Linked DNA regions of Cricetulus griseus. The protein of the gene in region 2 purifies or fractionates together with the protein of the main gene of each other region. This does not show direct contact. Links are inferred from orthologs where the notes say so. Each region holds a gene or a part of one and is shown on either strand. Other genes may lie near its edges.

Evidence for each region.
Region 1: the proteins of Rab11b (region 2) and Pi4kb purify together in Homo sapiens (co-immunoprecipitation; 3 studies listed by BioGRID and IntAct, with this or other methods). This does not show direct contact. The link is inferred for Cricetulus griseus from reciprocal best matches to the Homo sapiens genes RAB11B and PI4KB.

What each region holds. Positions count from the first base shown.
Region 1 is NW_023276806.1:61,524,910-61,537,040, forward strand, and holds the start of Pi4kb (phosphatidylinositol 4-kinase beta), read right to left. Parts: upstream 5,710-12,131; 5' UTR 5,570-5,709; exon of another isoform or gene 5,535-5,569; intron 1-5,534. UniProt on the Homo sapiens protein: Phosphorylates phosphatidylinositol (PI) in the first committed step in the production of the second messenger inositol-1,4,5,-trisphosphate (PIP). May regulate Golgi disintegration/reorganization during mitosis, possibly via its phosphorylation.
Region 2 is NC_048598.1:95,211,689-95,223,819, reverse strand, and holds the start of Rab11b (ras-related protein Rab-11B), read right to left. Parts: upstream 7,029-12,131; 5' UTR 6,910-7,028; coding exon 6,870-6,909; intron 1-6,869. UniProt on the Homo sapiens protein: The small GTPases Rab are key regulators of intracellular membrane trafficking, from the formation of transport vesicles to their fusion with membranes.

The DNA.
Region 1 (12,131 bases), on a different chromosome or scaffold from region 2:
ATAGAAATAGAAACTGAAAAGATTGTTCAGATGGGAAAATGCTTGATCTGCAAGCACAAGGACCTGAGTTTGATCTCCAGAACCCATGTCAAAAAGCCTAGCATAGTAACATACAATTGTGATCTCCAGTGCTGGGGAAACAGAGACAGGAAGATCCTTAGGACTTACCGGCCAGTCAGTTTATTGTACTTAGCCAGTTGCAAGCTAAGGAACTGCTGTCTTTTAGAAAAAGTTGTTGGGGTGGTGGCGGCACATGCTTTTAATCCCAACACTCAGGAGGTAGAGGCAGACAGATCTCTGTGAGTTCAAGGCTGGCCTGGTCTACAGAGAGCTCCAGGACAGCCAGGGATACACAGAAAACCCTGTCTCAAAGAAAAAAAAAAAAAAAAAAAAAAAAAAAAAAAAAGGTTGTTGGTCAGCATTTGATGAACAACATGAAGTTGTCTTCTGGCCTCCACATGTATGTATGTACACACAAATAAGCATATATGGGCAGAGACACATATACATGAGTAGCAGAAATAAGGTATTCTCCAAAATCTAATTCAAATATGATTTTCAACATTAATCTCTTCATCTATACATACAATGAAAATAAACCTTGGAGCACTAACTATTCTGGAGAAAGTAAAAGGATTAAGATGTAGCAACAAAAAAGGGAGGAGAAACAAGTCCTGCATTTATCACTCTTCTTCCTACAAGCCGTAGCATCCATACAGCTGAGGATCTACGTCACACTGGGAGTCTAAACTCTCCATTAAGACAGACTGGAGGGGAAAAGAAGAGGCCTCCTTGTCTGAGCCTAGCAGCCTGGCTACTAGGAAAGGAGGAGGGGGCTGGGGAAAGATCAGAGCTTAAAGTGTTGACAACTGTACCCCATGGAACAGGGCAAGGTAGGCATGATGGGTAACCTTAAATCAACTTCATAGAATTTAGAGTCACCATGGAAACAAGTCTCTGTATGCATGTCTTCGAGGGACTTTTTAGATGAGTTTAATTGAGGTGATTAATATTGGAGATTCCATTCCATGGGCTGTAGCCCAAGACTGGATCAAAAGGAGACAGTAAGCTAAGTATGACCAACCATTCATGGCTTTCTCTGTCCTTAAGGCAGACACAAAGTAACCAGCTGTCTCACTTCTGACACAGCTCCACCTACTGTGATGGACTGTAACCTCAAAACTGTAAGCCTAACAAACTTTCCTATAAGTTGCTTTTGTCAGGCATTTTGTGATAGCAACCAGAAAAGTAACTAATACAGTAGAAAAAGTCTAAGTATCAGGGTACAGAGCAGCTTCTGAATTGGCAGAGAAGGTAGCAACATATGAGCTTTGTGGGCTTGAGCAGTTATGTCTACAGGACTCTGGAGGGGACAGTATCCCTTAACCAGGATGTCTTCAACAGAGCACCTCAAAAACTTTGTGCAGGCAACCTTCACAGAAGTTAATGAAAAAGGTCTTCATGAAAAGACTAATTGGACTGGCCTTTCAAGAAAGATGGTACCAAACCAGGCGGTGGTGGCACATGCCTTTAATCCCAGTGCTTGGAAGGCAGAGGCAGGCGGATCTCTGTGAGTTCAAGACCAGCTTGGTCTTCAAGAGCAAGTTCCAGGACAGTCTCCAAAGCCACAGAGAAACCTTGTCTCGAAAAACAAAACAGAAAGGCAGGAAGGAAGGGAGGGAGGAAGGGAGGGAGGCAGGGAGGAAGGAAGGAAGGAAGGAAGGAAGGAAGGAAGGAAGGAAGGAAGGCACCAAGTCCCAAATCAGTCCCTTACTCTATCACCATTACTTCTTCAAATCTTTTACCATGCATGATAAATGTGAACTGCTTCACACCGATCCTGATGCTTTAACATACTCAGAATTTCCACAAAGTGACTGGTTATGTTTTGTTTTGTTTTTTTTTTTTGAGACAGAGTTTCTCTGTGTAATAGCTCTGGCTGTCCTGGTATTCACTCTGTAGACCAGGCTGGCCTCAAACTCATCTGCCTGCCTCTGCCTCCCAAGTACTGGGATTAAAGGTGAGCACCACCACCACCTGGCACACAGAATGACTTTTTAGAACTCATCTTGTGTAGGGCTCTTCTTCCAAGCAAGCAGGCCAGCTCAATTTTCTTTCTTTTAAGATCCTCTGAGATGGGTCACAGAAATGGAAAAGAAGATAAAGGAGCCAGTATCTTACTGTATGAGGTGCAGTGAAAGTTAATGGAAAAAGAGGGTTTACCTAACATGAGCAAGACTCTGGGTTTCAATCCCCAGCAAACCCAATCCAAGTTAGTGGAAAAGAAAGGCTCAGATAGAAACAAAAATATGTCATAATTACCCAAACAAGTATAAATCCTCTACAACCAAACCTCTAGAGTTAAGAACAAGTGTTATGAGTGCTATGGTAATAAGCTTTGAATAGAACTTTATGCTGAGATAATTACAGAAGCTAGCTCTGATTTGAGGGAGTATGAGTACAGATGAAGGGAGAGGGACTGTTAGTTTTGATCATAAATTCCTACAATCCTATTGAATATCACCAAGTACATGTACTCCTTTAACAGCAATTTTTAAAAATAGGCTGCTCTTCAAAAGGGGCCCTGTCTCATCCTAGGCTGCTTGTTCTGCTGTTAAGAAGTTCCTTGCTGGGGCTGGAGAGACAGCTCAGCAGTTACAAGCACTACCTGCTCTTGCAGACGATCTGAGTTCAAGTCCCAGCACCCACAGAGTGGCTCACAACAATCTTTAACTCCAGTTCCAAGGGAACGAACATCCTCTTCTGGCCTTTGCAGGTAACAGGCACATATGTGGCCCATGGATACATAGGCAGGCAAAACATCCATCAAAATTTTTTCCTAAAAAAGTTCCTTCCCATGTCTTAAGGTCTATTATAAATCTTTAAGAACTCAGCTCATCTTTTCCCTTTCACCTTAATGGTAAAGGAAGAATGATTTCTACATTTTTTTCTGTAGACACTCTGGATTGAGCAGTCCAGCAAGCTCAAGCCCCACCAGGAACCAAGTATGCTTGCCCAAGGTCTCAAAGGAGGGTGGCATCAGGGAAGAGGGCATTCTCAACTACGGCCTTGGGGGAAGGGCAGTGGTCTCACAGTAGTTAGGTCAATATTGATCAAGCTGAGAACTCTGTACAAGGCCAGGGAGCAGGTAGAAGCAGATTCCAGCCAGACAGCCCAAGCCTGCTCCAGGAGCCCCTGATGAGACTGACAGCTGGGAAAGGAAGCAACCTGCATTGCTCACCTATCTCTGAACCAGTCCTCCTTGTTTAAGTCCCAAATGTGCTTTAGACTAGGTCCTCTTTTGTCCCAGGCCAATTACTGAAAGGATACTCCCAAACCTCTTTCCCAAACCAAAGCAGCTCTCAGTTTGCTATATTAGTGTTCAGGAAACATGTACTTATGCAGTGTGGAACAGATGAGAAGTGAGGAAAACTAGAGGTATGATTTCTGGTTAAGGATGCATCTAAGGAGGGACGGTCTCCCATAAATGGGGATCATTACTAGATTGCACTTCAAGTAATTTTGGGGTAAGAAGTGGGCCAACATGGTATAACCATTTTCTTTTCTTTCTTTTTTTTTGGGGGGGGCAGTTTGAGACTGGGTTTCTCTGTGTAACAGCTCTGGCTGTCCTGGGACTCCATTTGTAAACCAGGCTGGAACTCAGATCCAAATTCTGCCTCCCAAGTGCTAGGATTAGAGGTGTGCCCCACCACTGCCTGGCTTGTATAACTATTTTCAGACCTGAACAGTCCTAGAGAGGGAAGAGGAATAGCGTGCCTGTGCCATCTTCATTATCTAAGGTTGAAAGAGATGTGCAAGACAAAGCAGCATCTAGTTAGCTGCTAAGTCCAGCATGCTCCTACCTTCCAAGGGCTCTTCTACAAACACATTTCTGACCACAAAATTTGGAGTTATGGATCAAGTTTAGAAGGAAAGGCACAGGTGTGATAGAAGAAAAAAAAGGCAGGGTTGAAAAGTAGCAGGCCAGGAGCTTGTGTTTCAAACTGATTTTATACTCAGAGAGATCAGAGAGATCAAAATATCAAAATAAAGGGAAAATCTCAAGATGACAAAATCACTAGCAATAAATACATTTTGCCTAAGAACCTGCAGTGTTTTATAAATTAAAAAAGTATAATTCTTCTCCCAAAAGACATCCTGCTACTAGCCTATTATTGCACTGGTACTTAAAGAATGGGCCATTTTTCTCAAAAGAGAATTTTCAAGTTCAAGTGAGGAAGTTACATGTTGAACCAAGAATCCTGAACATGCCGGCCCTTTACACCATCTCATGTTCCTTTTCCCAGACACACACACACAACTTCACCCATTAGGCCAAGTGCTTATGAAACTAACCAACACTATTCCACTAGACTTCGTCCAGTAAAGTAATGATTTGGTCTAGACAGGAGTAGTAGATACTATCCTGTGACCTAACCAAGTCCCAAAATAAATAATCTGAAGCAAAATTTCTCATAACTTCATTCAGCTTCCACGAAGGCCTGTCATTCTCTCCTAGTGGTTGCTCCTAAACAGTCAACGAAATATAATGTGATTGATAGCGACTTCTTGAAAAGTTGTTCCATCCTTCATTAACACATCTGTCCACAAAAGCCGGAGACAGCTGAGGCTCCCCTCCTCCCAACATTTTCTTCTTAGTTCAAGGTTTAGCTGATCTGAAATAAGTGATGTGTGTAGATAAAGGGTGTGATAGAGGCCACAGGGAAAACAGAACCCAGGGAGACAAAGATCGACAAAATCCTGGAATGGGGATTTTTGTGTGTGTCACAAGTTGGAAATCCCTAATCTGAAGGGCTGTTCACATCACCTCTCTTTCCTACAGGAACCATCCTCCGGAGGCCTGGGGATTGAGAAAGGGGAAAAGAAAGCCAAAGATAGCTACAGGTATCATCAGGCACCCCAGAGAAGTGTTGAGCACTAAGGTCAAAGTAGATGGGATCTTGGACACGATGACAACGGTCTGAGAGCCTTCAAGAAGGGAATTGGAAATTCTTGGAAGCCAGGAGCTGGGGGAGTGGGTTAAGGTGAGGTAATGGAATCGGAAGCACAAGAGAGGGATACGATCTCTAGCTGAGGGAAATGGGAACTCTGTGCTGAGGTTGCACAGACTACGAGGAGTGGGGAGAAATAGGAAAAGGGATAAAGGCGGACCCCATGGGAAAGATTTGGGCGCAGAAACACAAACGGCGAGGAAGGGCAAACAAGGATGGACATTGTAGAAGGGGTGTAATGTGGAAAAGGTTCACGGCTTAGAGAACTAGTTAAGGGACAGAGGCAACAGGGGAAAGAAGTGTGTGGTGGTGGTGGGGGGAGGTGGAATCCACGGGACAGAGGGAGGGGCTAAACAGAAGAGGAAGCCAGAAAGCAGAGAAGACGACCCCGGGCCCGAGAGAAAGAGTGAAGAACCTCAGGGTGCAGCTCCCACTAGGAGGGCAGTTTTGTAGTCGAACCCAGGTGGCTGTAGGCTGTGCGGGACAGGATGGCAGAAGGACCCTCCCCCCGCCCCCGCCCCCAGGCAAAGGCGACTCATGGGGGAGGAGTCGCTTACCTCCGGGGGACCCTCGCGGAGAGGGTGCAGGCGGTCGGGGTCGGACTGCCGACACCGCCGCCTCAGCAGCAGCGGCCGCTCCCGGGTTCCATTGGCCGCCTTGCGCTTCCCTGACAGCGGCCGCGGCGGCTGCACCAGGCCCCGGCTGCGGGGCTGCCCGCGGCGCCGCCTGAAAGGGCCTTCACGCTGCCTCAAGTTGGAGCGGACCTCACAAGCAGGACCCAAAATAACAATTCTTCTGCGGGTTTCGATGTAAGAGTCTCCTGGGCCCGAGCCCTTCTTCCCCGGATTTGCCTTCCTACTTCCCGGACTGTCAGGACACTACCGATGCCATAGTAATCTGAGTCGGCCGAGCTGCCCGAGTCACGCCTGTTCAGAAACGAAAAGGGGGCGGGGAAGAGCGATTTGGAAGCGGGGGAAGGGGCGGGGAAGCAGGGAGGAGCGTCTCAGTGGAAGGAGGGCCCGGGGTTTGAGGGCGGACCTCAGAGGCAGGCTTTGCTAAGGAAGCCGAGAGGGAAGTACTGTGGGCTGGATAAGTGGCACGATGTGGATGTACTGATATTTTACGTACTTCCACAAGTATACCAACAGGCAAATTATATGTAAATAATTCGTTTGTATAAGCCACCGAGTTACTGTAATTGCCATCAGTGACTTTTTCTCCTTCTCCTGTCCTACAGGATATCCCTTCGTAAATCAGCCGGTGGGACCCATGATGGAAGGCCAGAAAACAGATGAGAAGGGACCAGAGAGGAGGACAATCGCCCTCACTTTCCTTTTCCTACTCATCTTTAAGGACGATGCCAAAAGTATGCCCCTGTAGCTTCAGGAATGGCGCAGTCCAACCGCCTCAATCTTTCACCGTTAGCAGCAACACTCTGGGCCAAGGTTCTGCTTCCGAGGTCACCCCGGCTTGGGCAGCCTTTGGCCTCCAGCGTCCAGTCGCCTAGACCTGAGAGGCTGGACAAGCCAGGTTAGGAGAGGTGAGTGAAATGACAAAGGCTTAGAGGACATATCACTTTTTCCAAACCAAAGAAAACCACGTGCGACTAAACAGACATAAGCAGGCCTCTGGTGTTGGTTTTGTGTTAATTTGTTCGTTACTATTATTGAACCTCAGAATCACTGCCCCAATGTAGTCTTTTCCTGAGACTTTTCCTAGTATCTAAGGCCCTTACTAGGGGTAAGAATCTTAATATTCTACTGGCAGCTGGTTGAACCTAGATTTTGGATGCCATCTTCACTGTACTTACGAGCTGGTTGAGATCGTTCAGTTTCCTTCTTTTCTTTCTTTCCCTTTCCCCTCTACCCCCTCCCACCAGTCCCCCTTTTTTTTTGAGACAGTATATTTTTTTTCCAGGCCGCTGTTAATATTCCTTGGTTCAAGCCACTGGCCTGTGGAGTAACTAGGAATATATCCATATGCCCCCCACCCCATGCTAGACTAAACCTCAGCTTCTGTATAACAATGACAATATTATAACAATATAGTAACAATAATGCCTGATGTAATATCATTTTCCAAGGTTTGGGGAGGTTGGGGAATATCAAGAAAGTACTATAATATTACATGCCTGTTGTTAGAACATTAATACAAGTGATGAATGTCCCTGCTTCAGTGTTCAGTTGAGAGACAGATAGAGAGCTGTAGCTTGCGGAGGCTGAAAAGATGGCTCAATGGTTTCGAGCACTTGTTACTCTTGGAGAGGACCCGGGGTTCAATTCTCAGCACCCACAGGGTGACTCACAGCCATCCATAGCTCCACTTCCAAGGGGTTCAATGTCCCCTTCTGATCTCTGTGGGCACCAGATACATACATACATACATACATGCATGGAGGCAAAACATAAAATTAGATAAAATTAGAGCTATAGCTTGAAATGCCTGCTTAAACCTGCAGCAGGTACAAAAGTAGAACAGTGGAGTTCTTACTTGCTGTAGACACAGGGCAGAACCTTGTTAAACTGACACAGAAGGCCTGGCTGCGTACTCTATGGTGAGTGAATGGCAGGCTTCATATGAATACTGCAAGGCAGAACTTAGGAGAGACACTAGATAGTATCCAATGGGATAAAAAAGAAAGAGCATTCAAGGGTAAAAAAAATTACATACTGAACAGTAGGAATGTGAGTTTTTCAGATCACGAGGACAGGACAAACATAAACTAGGCTAAAGGGGAGGATTGCAGTAATGGAAGATAAGCACAGCAGAGCAACAGGGTGCCAAGGCCGGCTTAGATCTGTCACTGTGGTAGGTAGTCGCCATTCCACCTGTCAGGACCCTAAGTCATCAGCTATATTAAGAAGTGGTGAGCCTGTGCTAGCCTAGAGTTTAAATGTTACGGATTCCTTAAAGACTGGGATTCCATGGGGCCGCAACACTAGTCTTTATTTGGTTTTTGGAGACAGGATCTCTCTACATACCCCTGGCTGTCCTGGAACTCATTATGTAAACCAGGCTGGCCTCAAACTCAGAGATCTGCCTGTCTCTGCCTTCTAAATGCTTGGGTTAAGGATATGTGCCACCATGCTGGGCTAAAATTATTCTTTAAATATTATAAAAAGAGGTATGACAGGCTGGATAGATTAAAACAAACAATACAAAATGAGGCATAAAAGCCCTTTTTGGTTTTTTTGTCTTGTTTTTTGAGACAAGGTTTCTCTCTGTAGCCCTGGCTGTCCTAGAATTCTATTTCTAGATCAGGCTGGCCTTGAACTCAGAGATCCACATGCCTCTTCATCCCAAATGCTGGGATTAGAGGTGTGCACCACCACAACCAGGCTGAAAGCCCTTTTTATAGTAGGGTTTTTCTTAATTTGTGTTTGTTTTCTGAAACGGGGGTCTCACTATAGCCTGGGTTAATCTTTAATTATAAAGCCCATATTAATTCTAAACTTGCATCAATTCAGCCTTCCAAATGCTAGGATTATAGGCCTGAGCCAGTACTTTTGGCAGGATTTTGTTTGTTTGTTTGAGACAAGATTTCTCTGTGGCTTTGGAGGCTGTCCTGGAACTAGCTCTTGTAGACCAGGCTGATCTTGAACTCAGAGATCCGCCTGCCTCTTGCCTCCAGAGTGCTGGGATTAAAGGTGTGTACTAACACTGCCTGGCTGAAATTTTGTTTTTGTAAGACAGGTCTCTCTCTCTATAGCACTGCATGGGCTGGAACTCACTGTGTAGACCAGGATAGTCTCAAGCTCACAGAGTTCGACCTGCCTCTGCCTCCAAGTGCTGGGATTAAAGGTGTGTACCACCCTACATAGGTGAGTTGTGTTTTGTTTTTAGTAATATATTTGTTACATTTTAATATACAAAATAATGGGTTTTATTTATGACCGTTTAGTTTTGTTGCTGGTTTTGAGATAGGTTTATCTATGTAGCCCTGGCTATCCTAGAACTCACCCTATAGACCAGGCTGGCCTCCAACTCACGGAGATCCGCCTGCCTCTGTGCCTCCACTGCCCTGCCCATTTATGACATTTTTATGAACACAGAGAGACAAATACGTGTACATACTCATATTTACAGCTTTACTTTGCTCACTCTCTCCCATAGCCACCCCTTCCTTTTCACTTGTTTGCTTTTGAGACAGGGTCTCATGTATCTGGGATTAGCCTAAACTCCCCAGTTTCCTTCCTTTGCCTTCTCAGGACTGTAATGAGAGCCACGCCTCCACAACCAGCCTGCACCTCACTTTATCATTTGTTTTTGAGGCACTTAGGTAGACCAGACTATGTATATAGTGATCCTCCTTCCTCAGCCTCCTGGGATTTTTCCATTGACAGAAAAACAAGACTTCAGGAATTGAATATCTCTATTCAAACTGAGGATTTTATTTCAAAGGTAGCAACTTTTTTGAGCTGGTGAGTGGCTCAGTGGGTAAAGTGCTTGCTACCAACTCTGATTGCCTGAGTGTGAGTACCCAACTTATATGGTAGAAGGAGAGGAGTGACTCCTGGAAGTTGTTTCTGACCTCCATGTGTGCTCTGTAGCACATACACACACACACAAAATAAATAAATGTAAAAAGAGGTAGCATTGTTTATAGCTACAGTCAGTGGTAAATTTTTAACCAAATGAGTCCGTTCTCTCATGTAAGTACGTATAGAATTTAGTCATGAGTAAGTAAAAAGCATTTGTTATGTTTTCTGTTTAGCTCTACAGGCTCAGAGTTGTCAATTTTTTTTTTTGTTGTTGTTGTTGCTTTGTTTTCTCTCTGCTCATACATTCCAGCCTTGTTTCTACCTATATCTTGACACTTTTATTTATTTATGCAATATTGGGGATTGAATCTAGAGCCTCTTGCATGCTAAGCAAGTGCTCCACCACTGGGCTGTATCCCCAGCCCTGCTCCCTTTTTGAGCTAGGTTCTCAGTAAGTTGCCCAGACACACACCAAACCTGCAACCCTGTTTCAGCCTCCCAAGTAGCTAGGATTACAGGCCTCATTTTTAGTCAGTCTGTAGTCTCTTCAAGTCTGAGCTCCTGTAGCAGTGCCTCTCAACCTTCCTAATGCCACAACCCTTTAATACAATTCCTCATGTTTGGTGACCCCCAGCCATAGTTATTTTTGTTGCTACTTCATTACTATAATTTTGCTACTGTTATGAATTGTAATGTAAATATTTTTGGAGACAGAGGTTTGTCTAAGGGGTCATGACCCACAGGTTGAGAACTGCTGTCTACAGGAAGGGAAACATTTACCTTTGCATTCTAAGAATCCATTGTTTTTACCATAGGAACAGTTTGTATTTGTTGATACCTCATCAGATTGATTTTAGAAGCAGACATGAGAATTCAGTAGTGCATAAAGGAGACTTAGGAAATTGTAAAACAATGTGAAGTATCTCACTGATGTTTTATTTGGAAAACTATATTTTTCAAAAGTGAATTTAAAATATTTTAAATCCATATGTTTGAGTAAATTAATTTTTCCACATTCATATTTTCCTTTATTTTTTAAAGCCTTAGTCTTATTTTGTTTTGTCTGGGGGGAAAATAACCAAAATTTCAGCTGAGTATGGTACCCTCCCAGCAGAGGCAGGCAGATTTTTGAGTTCAAGGACAGCCTGGTCTGTATAATGAGTTTCAGGATAGGCAGAGTTACATAAAGAGACCCTGTCTCGACAAAACAGGATCTCACTGTGTATGTAACCTAGCCTGGCCTCAAATCTGAGACCCTCCTACCCCCACCTCCTGAATGCTGGCAGGCTGCTTAGCTTCCCCACAGTCTCTAAGTGTCAATCATAAATCCATGAAAAGCATAGTACATTATAGTCAAATCTTATTTTCAAATAGCAAAACCATGAGAAGAGTATTTAACATTGAAGTATGATATTCTCACTAGTCTCTAAATCGCTCACCACTGACCCTCTGTTGTGTGCATGTTTATGTACATGTGTTTGCTGGTGTGTAAGTCTATATGTGCACATGTACACATTTGTAGAGGCTAGAGGATAACTTTTGGTGGTATTGCCTCAGGTGCCATCCACTTTGGGTTTTGTTATATATATTTTTGAGACAGGATTTCACTGTCCTGGCTGGACAGCTAGCCCCAGCGATCCTCTTGTCTTTGCCTCCCAGTATTGGGGTTATAAACAATACCATTGCACCTGGCTTTTTACTCTTTATTTGCTTTTCTTTCTTTTCTTTTTTAAGATTTATTATGTATACAGTGTTCTGCCTGCATATATGCCTGAATGCCAGAAGCGGGTACCAGATCTCATTATGGATTTGTGTATTGTTGGGAATTGAACTCTTAACCTCTGAGCCATCTCTCCAGCTCTGAACCTGGCTTTTTAAATGTGGATTCTAGAGCTGGAGAGATAGATCAGTGGTTAAGAGCACTCAATGCTCTTGTAAAGGACTCAGGTTCAATTCCCACTATCCACATAGCAGCTCACAACCACATGTAACTCTGGTTCAGGGGGATCTGATGCCCTCTTCTGGCCCCTGCACATACATGGTACACATAAATACATACAGGCAAAACACATATAACATTTAAAACAACCTTTTTTAAAAATCCAATGTATTTTATTCTGTGATCACTGAAAAATAAATGAGCATTATTTAATACAAAATAAGAGTTTCATGAACTAATACCTGACTGTATGCAGCACTCTCATACTTTGGGACTTATTTTATTTCCCTTTTAGAAACATTGTTTTGCATCTTTTAAATAGATTTATAGTTCACTAATGGGTTGCAATATAAAATTTGAAAAAAAAAACTAGCCAGTAAATGTTCAAAATCATATGGTGGGGCTGGACAGATGGCTCAGCAGTTAAGAGCACAGGCTACTCTTTCAAGGGATCTGGGTTCAATTCCTAGAACCTGCATGGCAGCTCGTAAGTCTCAGTAACCCCAGCTCCAGAGGATTCAGTGCCTTCTGGCCTCTGCAGGCAACAGCATGCATACTGTACACAGACATACAGACAGACACAACATCCATGTTCACAAAACAAAACAAAAAACACCATATGCTGAGGATCTGGAGAGTCAGCTCAGTGGTTGAGTGCTTGCTGTTCTTATGGCCGACCAGAGTTCAGTTCCCAGTTCC
Region 2 (12,131 bases):
GTGCCTCAGAATGGCTCCTAATTCCCTAAGAATCAAAGCGCAGGTCCTCCCCAGGGCCCACAAGGCATGGTATTACATGCTCTGAAGCCTCTTTCTTTCCCTTCCTCAATCTTCCACATGCTCTAGCCAGCTACATCGGCTCCTTGCTCTGCCCGGATACATCAGGCACAGTCCTGCCTCAGGACCTTTACACAGGCTACTCTTTCTTTGGCCCCTGCTTCACCTCTTTGTGAGCCCCTTAGATGCCACTTGGTCAAGAAGACCCTCTCCACAATCCTATTATAATCATACTTTCCCAACCCTCCCCATTCTCTGCCCTAGTGTTTCTTCCATAGCTCGTGAAACCCTCACATGTGTCTGGTTTCGCTCTTTTCTTTTTTTGTGGCTAGTCTGCCCCATAAGCATGGATCTTGGATAGGCGTGTTCCCTGATGTATCCTCAGGCCTGGCACAGGGCCTGGCACACAGTAAGTGCCAACAAATATCTGTGGAATGAATCAGCACACCCCTGCCTACCTCATATGACCCTAGACATGCCTACAACACCCTGGGAAGATGCCCAGGTCACCCCCCTCAGGTCGCAGGTGAGGATGGGGCAAAAACAGGGATCCCAACCCATTTCACCTTCTGGGCTGGTTGCTTTAGAGCCAAGAATAATAAGACTGAGGCAGGCATAGTGATACATGCCTATAATTCCAGGACTCAGCTGCAGCACCAGAATCATGAGTTTAAGGGCAGCCTGGGCTACATTTTGAGTCCCTGTTTCAAAGGACAAACAGTACTGATGATACTGCTCAGATGGCAGAGCACTTGTCTAAACATGCATGAAGCCTGGGTTTGATCCCCAGCACTGCATTAAACTAGATGTGAAGGCAGAAGTAGTTCAGGATCATCTCTGGCTACATAGTGAGTCTGATGCAAGCCTAAGCTTCCTGAGACCCCCCAAAACAAAACAAGCCTGATATGGTGGCTCAGGCCTTTAATCCTAGCACTCAGGAGGCAAACCCAGGCCAGCTAGGGCTACATAGTGAGACCGTATCTCAAAACAACAAAAAACTCCACAAAAACAAAACTACAAAAACCAACAAACAATCCAAAAAACTAAACAAAACAAAAACCACAAACAGATTCATATGAGAGGGACAAAAAGAGGCTGCAGAGATGACATATATGGCCTCACACAGCCCATTTTATAAAGAAGGAAACTGAGATTCAGACGAGAGATGGGGAACCCAAGACATTGTATGACCAGGAGCATGGAGGCAAAGCAGGAGTCAGGGTCTGTGTTTATCTGCAAATTTGCCCCCACCTCCCAGTCACTTTCACTAAGCAATCCATGTCCAGGGCAACTTGCTTGGGAAGTCATCTAGGCAGGATGTGAACTCAGGTCTCTGGAACAAGGTCTTTCCCTTCCATATCAATCTCACATCTTCCAGGCCATTCTCCCCTCATCCCTGGCATACAATTCAGGGGTCTTGGTTCTACCTCCTGGAGGCAGTGAAGCCCAATGCACCTCAGCCTGCCTATCTCCCAGCTTCCCACCATGTAGGCATCCTTCAGGGACAGCCAACAAATCCCTGCTCATCTTTCAAGATCCTATAGTCTGTGAGATCCTTCACTTAGTTCAGGTTTCTCCTCTCCATGCAGACTATCATATGGCCTGGACCACAAGACATGTAATGACAGGCTCAGCATCCTCCTGAGCCGCTGTGGGTACTCAGTATAAGAAAATCAAGTTCAGAGAAAGAGGTGATGATAGACAAGAGCCTGTAACCCAGAGCCAAGGATTCCCCAGCATGTTGGCTGGGGCAATGGCTGGCTGCTGAGCCATATGGAAACAAGCTAGACTGTAGGAGTCACTCTCCATAGCATCTATCCCTCACATCCTTCCCACAGGAGCTGCCATATGGAAACAAGCTAGAGTGCAGGAGTCACTCTCCATTGCATCTATCCCTCACCTCCTTCCCCAGGAGCTGCTTTGCTCCTTATTCTCACGCCCACAGGAATGACATGGAAAACTTGCCCTGCTCAGGAGATCTCTCACACCCTCTGTCTTCTCAGCCTTGCCTCTGTTGCATAGCCTCCAGAAATTGTGACCATGGCAGCTGCACTGTGACTAGGACTGAACTTTGGGTCAAGCTTGTGCCCAAATGCCTCACTGGCCTAGGCTTAGCAAATTCTCAGAGCCACCCCAGGGACAGACACAATGTCAATAATGCAGCTGCATTTAGGGACATGCAACCCAGAGACAAATTACCAGTGCAAGGTTACCCACTGAGAACAAGAAAGCACAGACCAGGTTGAGGGTCCACAGACTATGCCCAGCTGAACAGCAGGAAGGCTAGGTTGTTCAGGCCATCCCTGGCACTGGGTACCTGATATACCAGGGTGGTGATTAGGCTGCCTCTGCATGTAGGATGGGTGTGAAAATGGCATTGTCAAGAAAAACAAGTGACCAGTTGTCTTGGGAAAGTAATAAGACCTTGAGGACACAACCCCCAGCATTTCCAAAGAAGTCTGTGGCTTTGCTGGCCGGGAAATGGTCCCCCTGGATATGGCATTTGGCAAGCTAAGCAGGCAAGCCCAGTTGGCAAAAACAAAGATCTGGCAACTCTCAGGAGCCCTGGATGCTCTAGCCTGTCCTATGACAGGGTAGCACCCCTAGAGCCTTTGATGTTCAGGCTGACTGAGCAGCTATTCAGTGTAGGGAAGAAGGTGTCCTCTAGGAAGTGGGCACTAACCATTCCAGGTCCCAGGGACTGGCACAGGGGAGCATTCTTGCCTCAATTATTCTTTGGGGCAAGTGGGAGTCACTAGCACAGCACAGTAGGCCTGGTAGGCATGCTGCCTAGCTTGGTGTACTTGACAGAAGGATGTAAGTTCTGGGGCTAGCCCTGTTCCTGGGGTCTAGTGATTTCTATGTACTTGGGCAGGGGTGGGTACAACCCAAAGAACAGGGCCCCTGTGCTTCTCACATAATCTATGTCCTTGAAACCTGGGTGGGCACTAACTGGCTGGGAACTCTGGGAAAAGCATCTGAGGATGGGGCCCTAGGTGATCCCAGTGTGGCACTCCTAACTTAAGTGTTCCTCAGAGGAGAAGTCAGGGGTATCCCTGGGGATACACCAGGAGGTTGGGAAAATGGCCAGCAGCTAACAGGAGAAAATGTTGGGAGAAAAAACGTGAGGATCTATAATTAGGTACAAATAAACAACCTCACTCCTGAGAGAGAGGAGACTATTTGCAGAAGAAAACAAATGGCATGTGGCCACCTACTCTTGGGACCTCTTGGCCTTCGTCTTAAGGTCAAGGGAGCCAATGTGTAATGTGGCTGCCAAAAAACGTGAGAGAGAGGGGGGGGGGGAGAGACAGAGAGAGACAGAGAGTGTGTAGGAGCTGTCTCTAGCAAAGACTTGTGGCCCTCCATGTCAAGGAAAGGTGGGAAAGCCCAGGATGGGGACAGGCAAGGCTGGTTGAGCACAGGGAATCAGGGGTGGATGAGGCACCAGACACTATCCTTTCTGAGTTTCTAGAGGTTGCAGAGAGAGCCACATAGTGACAAGATCAGTCCTTTTCAACACTTCTGGTGCAACTGTAGATTTTGTTTTGTTTTGTTTTTCTAGAGACATGGTCTCACTACGTAACCTAGGCTGGCCTTGACCATATCCTTTTGTCACTGACTATGGGATGCCTCTCCAAGACCGACCAGGTCACTACACTTGTCATGAGGGACTGGCAGGTACAGTGATTTCACATTCTGGGGGACCTGCCACATGTAGGCAAGTGATGTGATTGATGATAGTGGTTTGCCTGCTGCTATCTCTCTTCCCTTTTAATTCCCCAGCACTTCCTTTTCTAATTTAATGGCTTGAAAATCTGAATGAAAAGGACAAATGTTAAAGGGTCCTCAGATGAGCTCTAAGGAATGGAGAGTAAACCTAGGGTGAGCATTAGTGGGATGCTGACCTTGGGGGTTAGGCAGCTACTACAAACTGAAGAAGGCAACTGCCAGATCAGGAAAGGAGGCCAGTGGGGTGGGCAATAGGGCAGGCAGACACTCCCTCCAGCCAGCTGCTGCAGGAGCTGATTGGTGTTTCCAGGAAGTGAGCTCTGGAGACAAGTACCAGGAATGGCAATGGCGCTTCATCGCCCCTGACCTAGTAACTGCACTTCTGGGAATGCACATCAAGGAAACAGCCCACAGGGCACAGAGAGGACTTGACTTGGGCACACATTCAATGCCAAGCTATTTATAACAGCAAAAGGTCGAAAACAAGCAAGGAATGACCACAGATGCTCAATGTGTTGACTTGAAGGGAAAAGATTCCCTGTCCTGCCTGAAGCTTCCTCAGGGTAGGTTGTGTGGGGACAGGTCCTTGCCATTTTAGGGCCTGAGTCTGTTCCACCCATCACCAGAAAGCCCTTCAAATATTTGGTCTCCAAAAATCCTTCCAAATCATCCTCTGCCTCTAGAGTGATACCTGGAGCCTACACCTGCTAATCACTTACATCTGGACACAGCCCACTACCAGGCCATGGTGCTATGTGGTTAACTCTGCATCTTTGCAGACCTCTGTCTCTGCCTAGGAACCTTTTGTCACATGGCTATCCCTACTACCTCCACAAACCCAAGATGCCAAGGCTGGCTTTAAGCACCAGGACACACTCCCAGAAGGGCAACTGTGTGTCCCTTTAGTGCTCAGAAATTAGCTCAAAAGCAGCCACTGTCTGGTGGGGAGCCTAGCATAAACAGCACAGGACCAAAAAGCCCGCCTGGCATAGAAGGTGTCATCATGCCAGAGACCCCTAAATATGTTCATCAGAGAAATGAGGGACCCCAGTGACATGGGGGGTGAGGTAATATAGTATGTTTTATTAAAGCTTGCCTGAGGATTCAGAAAGCAAGTAAGCCTCAAGCTACCGAGATCAGGCAGTGGTGGTACACACCTTTTATCCCAGGACTCAGGAGACAAAGGCAGATGGATCTCCCTGAGTTCAAGGCCATCCAGGGCTACACGAGATTGAATCAGTCTAAAAGAGTAACAGAGCCAACACCTTTAATCCCAGGACTCATGAAAGGTTATTTAGACAGGAACAGGGTCTCAGAGCTGGCATTCATTCTCCAGCCACACTGAGGATAGGAAGACATTGGAGTCTAAAGATTCTCTAGCCTCTCGGAAGAGAGCAGAACAGTCTGGGATTTCAGTATGAGGTTTGGTGGAGCCAGGATTGCCTTTCAGCCTGAGCTATAAGAAAGAACTAATAGCCAGCTGCTTTGCTTTTCTGATCTTCAGCTTAAAGTTTGAACCCCAATATCAGTCTCTGGGTCTTTTATTGATCATGCTACAGGTAGGAAACTCTTCCAGTGGGTTGGATGTGTATGTGTTGAGGGGAGGTCTGACACCTGTTTGTTCCAGATCTAAGCTGCAAAACTTGCCCCAAAGCTCATACCCTAAGTGGCAAAAACTCCCTAAACTGTCCAGAGCTCAATCCTGCTCCTCCCTCAGGAACTTGTCTCTCTGAACTTCAGTTTCCTTCTTGTTTTGAGGACAGGATATGGCTATGTAACTGATGTTATCTTTAAAAATTTTTGTTGAGATAGGGTCTCACTTGGCATTCCACCACACCTAGAACTCTCTATGTAGACCAGGCTTGCCTGCCTTGAATTTCACAGAACTGTGTGTTTCAGCTCCCTCCTGAGTACTGGAACTTAAGGCAAGTGCCACCACAGTTGGCCAAATCACATTATTTATTCTGTGTGCTGTATGTGCGTGGGCTCATGTGACATGGACAGAGGACAACTTGCAGACTCTGTTCTACCATGTAGGCCCCAAGACTGAATTCACGTTATCAGGCTTGGCAGCACACACAAATACCTGTTGACCTATCTCATCACCCCCAGGTTGACTTTGAAATAGAAAAAGATCCTCCTGACTCCAACTCTGAGTAATGGGATTTCAGGTGTGCACCACTTACAAGCATGTTTCTTGGATAATATGGACTGTATAAACTGATAAAGAGGATTAAAAGGAGTCATTAATGTAAAGTCTCAGAACAGTGTATGTACTGGCCCAATGTCATCCACGTGTTTTTTTTTTTTCCTTTGAGTTCCAGTAATCCAGGCTGGCCTCTGCACTTCTGATCTTCCTACGTCTGCCTCCCAAGCGCAGACCACCCAACGCCTGCACCATCACACAAGGTTTATACGGTGCTGGCGATAAAGCCCGGGGCTTTGTGCCTGCTACTGCTAGGCAAGCTCTCTCTCTACCAACTGAACTACATCTCCATCATTTACTCAGAGTTTGAACTACCGCTGCACACACAGGCACCATCCCACCCAATTCCAAGGCACCACAATTTAGGGCTCCTGCACCACGTGACCCAGGCCCCACCCCCCCCAAAGGCAGGCCCCGCCCCTACCAGTCCAGGCCCAGCCCTAGAAGTCTCACACCAATCAGGCTTCCTGGGCACGCCCACAATGTTCTTCAACTGCCCTAACCCCATCTATAACCCCCCGCTGTCAACGCTTTCAACGCAGCCCGCCAGCCAAACCCAGGGAAGCCCCGCCCCTCATGGAGCCCCGCCCCAACGGCCTCGCCTTCCACTCCGGGCCCCACCCTCTCCAGGGCCCGGCCCCGCCCCGGTGCATCCGGGGTCCACAGGCCTCTCTAAGCCTCCCTCTTCTCACTGCTGCGGACTAGGGCCCGAAGCCTAGTGAGCTCGGCCTGCCGTGGCTTCCTCCGACTCTCTACCCGGGATAGGGCCCCGCTGAAGCCTGGGGCTCCACCCTGGACCCTCTCGCCCCGTACTGCGGCCTCGACCCTCCCGTCGCTACCGCGCCCTTGCCCGCCTGTACTCCACCGGGCGCACCTTTGAATAAGTAGTCGTACTCATCGTCCCGGGTCCCCATTGTCCTGGCGCTTCCGGCGGGATCGGCGACTCCGCAGCCCCACCACAAACACCCGACGGGGGCGGAACCGGCGCCGCGCAGAGCGGCGGTCCGACGACCAGTCAACGGCGAAAGCGGTAGTGACAGGCACCCGAGCAAGCCAATCAGACTTAGGAGCCGAGCTCAGGTGGGTGGGAGCCTCTTGGGATCCACCCTTCTAGCCCTCGGTCTCATGGAGAAAGGCGGAAGGAATGCGGACCTTTCCGAAGTGACAGGCTCAGGAGCCTATCAGAAGCAGAGGGGGGAAAGGCGGGGCGGAAGACTGGAACAATGAAGTGGATTGACAGAGGGCGTAACCAATGAGGGCCTGCATTCAGAATCGGCTTTCCCCGGACCTGTCGGGGAAGGGAAATTGAGCTCCCTCCAGGTGATGTTAAGGACTTTAACGTCCTAATGACATCATAGGTCAGTGCGTCTGCCCTGGCTTCTTACCCTAGCCCCATAAACGACCATTTCCGGGTGTGTGTGTGTGTGTATGACGACTGCGGGAACCTTCTCTGGGTGGTAGTCCCCCAATTCTTTGTTTAAACCTAAAGCTTATGTCAGTACCTCCCAAACAAATAGGGATCCTAGACTTCTTTATTTGCTCCTTTTCTCAACAAATTAAGTCTTCTGTTTTCTGCTTTTCATCAGTACTCACTTTTTTTTTTTTTTCTTTTTTAAAGACAGGTTCTCACTAAGTAAACCTGGTTGTACAGGAATTAGTGATGTGAATCAGACCACACCTGTCTGGTTTTCTTTTTTTGAGACAAGGCCTAATGTTACTCTGGCTGCCTTTAAATTTGCTATGTTATTTATGGATTACTTTGAACATTTTTTTCCCCTGCCTTATTTGGAGCACAAGGTCTCGACTGTGTAGCTTCAGCTTGTCTGGAACTTGCTGTGTAGAACTCAAGAGATCCACCTACCTCTGCCACACACAAATGTACTGGGATTAAAAGACATTTGCCACCACATCCTGACTTTGAATTTGTGATCCTCTTATACACTGGTAACTTAGAAGTTACCTCTCTGATCTCATTTTCTTTCTCTGCTCATGTGTTCCTGAGATTATGTGGATTGTTTCCTTAAACACATACACAATTAACAGTCTGCTTTGTGCCATGAAGTCTTTGTTTAACAAATATTCAGAGGCTGGGCAGAATACTAAGGGAAAGGAATGCAGCTTAATTGTATTTATTTTACATCTATGTATGTATGTATGTTTTGTTTGCATGTTGTGCACTCTGTGCATGCAGTTCCCCGTAGAGGCCAGCCCTGAGACTGAAGATACAGACAGTTGTGATCTGCCATGTGGGTGCTGGGAATCAAACCTGAATCCTGTGTAACAACAGCCAGTGATCTTAACCACTGAGCCATCTCTTCAACCCACAGCTAAATTAATTAGAATTCAAAGGCTTGGTTTCAATCCCCAACATTGAAGTGGGGAAAAAAATTCTTACTGGCATGGTAGCAGATGTTTAAATTTAAAAGCTCCTTTGGAACTGAAATGCTCAAGCAATAGAATGTCTAGTATGCACAAATCCTGAGTTTGATCCCTGGCACCTCTTGAACTGGGTGTGGTGGCACATGTCACTAGAACTGGGGAGCTGGAGGCAGAAGAGTCAGGAGTTCAAGGTCATCCTCCACCACAGAGGTAGTTTGGGGCCCTTATTCAAATAAACAAAACCAAGCCGGGCAGTGATATCGCATGCCTTTAATCCCAGCACTCAGGAGGCAGAGGCAGGCAGATCTCTGTGAGTCCCAGACCAGCCTGGTCTACAAGAGCTAGTTCCAGGACAGCCTCCAAAGCCACAGAGAAACCCTGTCTCAAAAACAAACAAACAAACAAACAAAACCCTTTTGTTAAAATGTGCTAACTCCTCACTTAGGCCCTCAGGATAATAAAGAGAAAGATGAAGGCCTGGTATCTCTGTCTTCATTTTTTGTCTGTCTCATTTGTTTTGGATAAAGGCTCCTTGACTACAAAGGCATGTTAATCACTCAGGAGTGTTTTGTCTACCTAGCTTATGATTCTGGAAGCACAAAGTGAAGTCAATGACTTAAAATCTATGATCACCTTGGATTCCAAGAAAAACAAAGCCTCAACTTATTTCCCACTTCTAGATAAGGGCAAGTATCTATGATGCAAGCAAGGCTTCACCACAGAGCAGAAGTGACGTCTTTACAAAGGGGACCAGTCTCCTTTCTTTGGACCACCTTGAAGAACCAGAGCAGAGATAATGGTTGATGAGATCACTATTTGACTTTGACTCCTTAATCATAAATGCTGCTTTCTTTCTTCTTGTACATATGTGGTATATACATATGTGCACGTTCATATGTGGAGGGTGTGTGTGTGTACAAGCTTGTGGAGGTCAAAGGTTGATGTCAGGTGTCTTCCTGAATAGCTACCATCTCAGATTTTGAGCACTGAGCCTGAGTCTCACTGATTTGGCTAGATGAGCTGGCTAGAAGGCTCCTGAGATCCATCTGTCTTTGACCCTTAAAACTGATGGTGTTAGTTAGTGCATCCTGCCACACCTGGCTTTGTATGGTGCTGGGGATCCAAACCCAGGTCCCCATGGTTGCACAGCACTGTCCTCTCCCCATCTCTAGTTATACATACCCCTTGATTCAATTCTGCAAATCATCTAAAGCTGATGTCAGTACCCCAAAGTTAAGTCCTTTATTTATTCTTTTCCCTACCATATTAATTTAATCTCTTTTCTCTACTTTTTATTATTTTTCATCTTTCTTTTTAAAGTGGTTTTTTTTTTTTGGAGGCAGGGGTCTCTCTATGTAGTCTTCCTTGTCCTGGAACTCACTTTATAGACCAGGCTAGTCTTGAACTTACAGAGAGCCGCCTGCCTCTGCCCCAGTAGTGCTGGAATCAAAGATGTATAGCCTTGTGGTGGTTTGAATAGGTATGACCCCTATAGACTCATGTGTTTGAGTGCTTGGGCTACAAGGAATGGTACTATTAGGATATATGGCCTTGTTGGAGGGAGTATGTCATTATGGAGGCAGGCTTTGAGGTCTCATATATGCTCAAGTTATGTCCAGAGTGGCATACAGTTCACTTCCTGTTGCCTTCTGCTCAAAATGTACAACTTTCAGCTCCTTCTCCAGCACCATGTCTACCTGCATGCTGTCATGTCCTACCATGATGATAATGTATTAAACCTCTGAAGGTAAGCCAACCCCAATTAAATATTTTCCTTTATAAGAGTTGCCATGGTCATGGTGACTCTTCACAGAAATAGAAACCCTAAGACAGTCCCCATACCCAGCTAAAGCATATGTTAATGCCATGGGGTACAAAAATCTATATAGGGGATTAAACAGGGTAAGAGGGAAATGTTATATTGGAAACTGGTGCTGTAACTAGAGTTGTGTTGGGGAAACCCAGGCTCTGATAGCCCAACAGGTAAGGTTAGCCTACTTGGCCCAATTAAAGAGATAGGTGAGAAGAATGCTTGCTTAACAGCCACCAAAACCTGTGTTCCATCACCAGAAATATATATATATATATATATATATATATATGAATATAGTAGTTAGGTATGTCTGTAACCCCAACCCTTAGTAGAGACAGGAAGATAAGAAGTTCAAGGTCATCCTCAGGTGTATAGCAAGATCAAGGCCAACAGGAGTTTCATGGGACTCTTTCAAAAAAAAGATGAGTCAGGCAGATCTCTGTGAGTGCAAGGCCAACTTGGTCCACACACTCAGTTTGGAGAGAACATAGACTCTGTGGGTGGGGGGAGAGGTGTGGAGAGAGTTTTTTACTTTTGTGTTTTTCTTTTAATGTACAAAATGGTGTTTTGGTTTACTTTTGGTGTGCAGTGAAAGTATCTGACATCTACTCTCAGGAAAGCTGTGGCATACATTGCAAATGTATTTTCTGTCTTTCACAATGTTTCTAACCACAAAATATGCATCACTTTTCTGGTCCATTTAATTTCTTATTTCTGTTTCTAGCGATGAGGATCAAACCTAGGGTCTATAGGCAAGTACTTGGCCACTGAGCCGAGCCCCCCCCCCCCGCCCGCCCCAGCCCTCACTTAAGTTTCTGTAGCATTACCAAAGTATCAGTCCCAAGAGGGCAGGGCCTGTGTGCACATCATTGCTGTAACCTTGTGCTAAACATCTGTTGAGTGAAGAATAACATAAATGCGGAGCCCATGTGGTAGTTACATAACACTTGTTTCTGTTGTTCTGTTTTCGGTTCTGAGATCTGACTCAGCATCTCCCCAACCCTTACTTAGGTTTCTGTTTGCTTGTGTGTGTGTTTGTTTGTTTGTTTGTTTTCTGTTTTTTGGGGGGAGGGTTATTGCTGTTAGGATACTTTAAATTCATTACTTGACAATTTCATGCATGCGTCCAGTGTATCTTGACCACATCTACTTCCAACTTCCTCTTTCCGTTTTCCCCAAACTCCTCCCAACATGCCCCTCTTCCATATTCTTGCTCTCTTCACTCATTCACTCTTTTTTTTTCCCCCAGTGACCCATTGAATCCTGTTTTTGTTTTTGATACAGGGTCTCATATATCTAAGGCTTACCTGAAACTCTTCTGTAGCCAACAAAGATCCTGTGCTACTGATTCTCTAGTCTCTACTTTTGAGTGTTTAGTTTACAGTTTTATACAGTGCTGTAGATCAAATTCTGGATTTGGTTCATCCTAGGCAAGCACTCTACCACTTGAGCTACAATCCCAGCCCTATCCTATTGTAGCAATTACTTTTTATAGTATTGTATTATTTTCTTACATTTGTTTCATTATTGTTTTAGAATTTCATTCATATGTCATTCCCACCCAACACTCTCATCCCTCCATCCCTCTTTTATTTTCATTTAATTGTATGTGTGTATACACCACATATATGACAGTGCCTGCCTGCAGAAGCCAAAAGAGGACATCATTTCCCTGAAGTTGGAGTTACAGATGATTGTGAGCTGCCCCAAATGTAGTAGGTACTCATATCCATTGAGCCTTCTCTCCAGCCCCTTCTAGAGCAATTCTTTTTTTTTTTTCCTAGAGCAATTCTTATTGAGGTGTCTCTCAGGCATTCCAGACACAAATATGGGATCTTCGTTCATATCCATTTTGCCTCCACCCTGTTAATGACAGAGGTCAGGACCTCTCTGTCTACATCTTCTCCTTTCCACCTGTCACCCTTAAATGCCTTATTCTGTCCC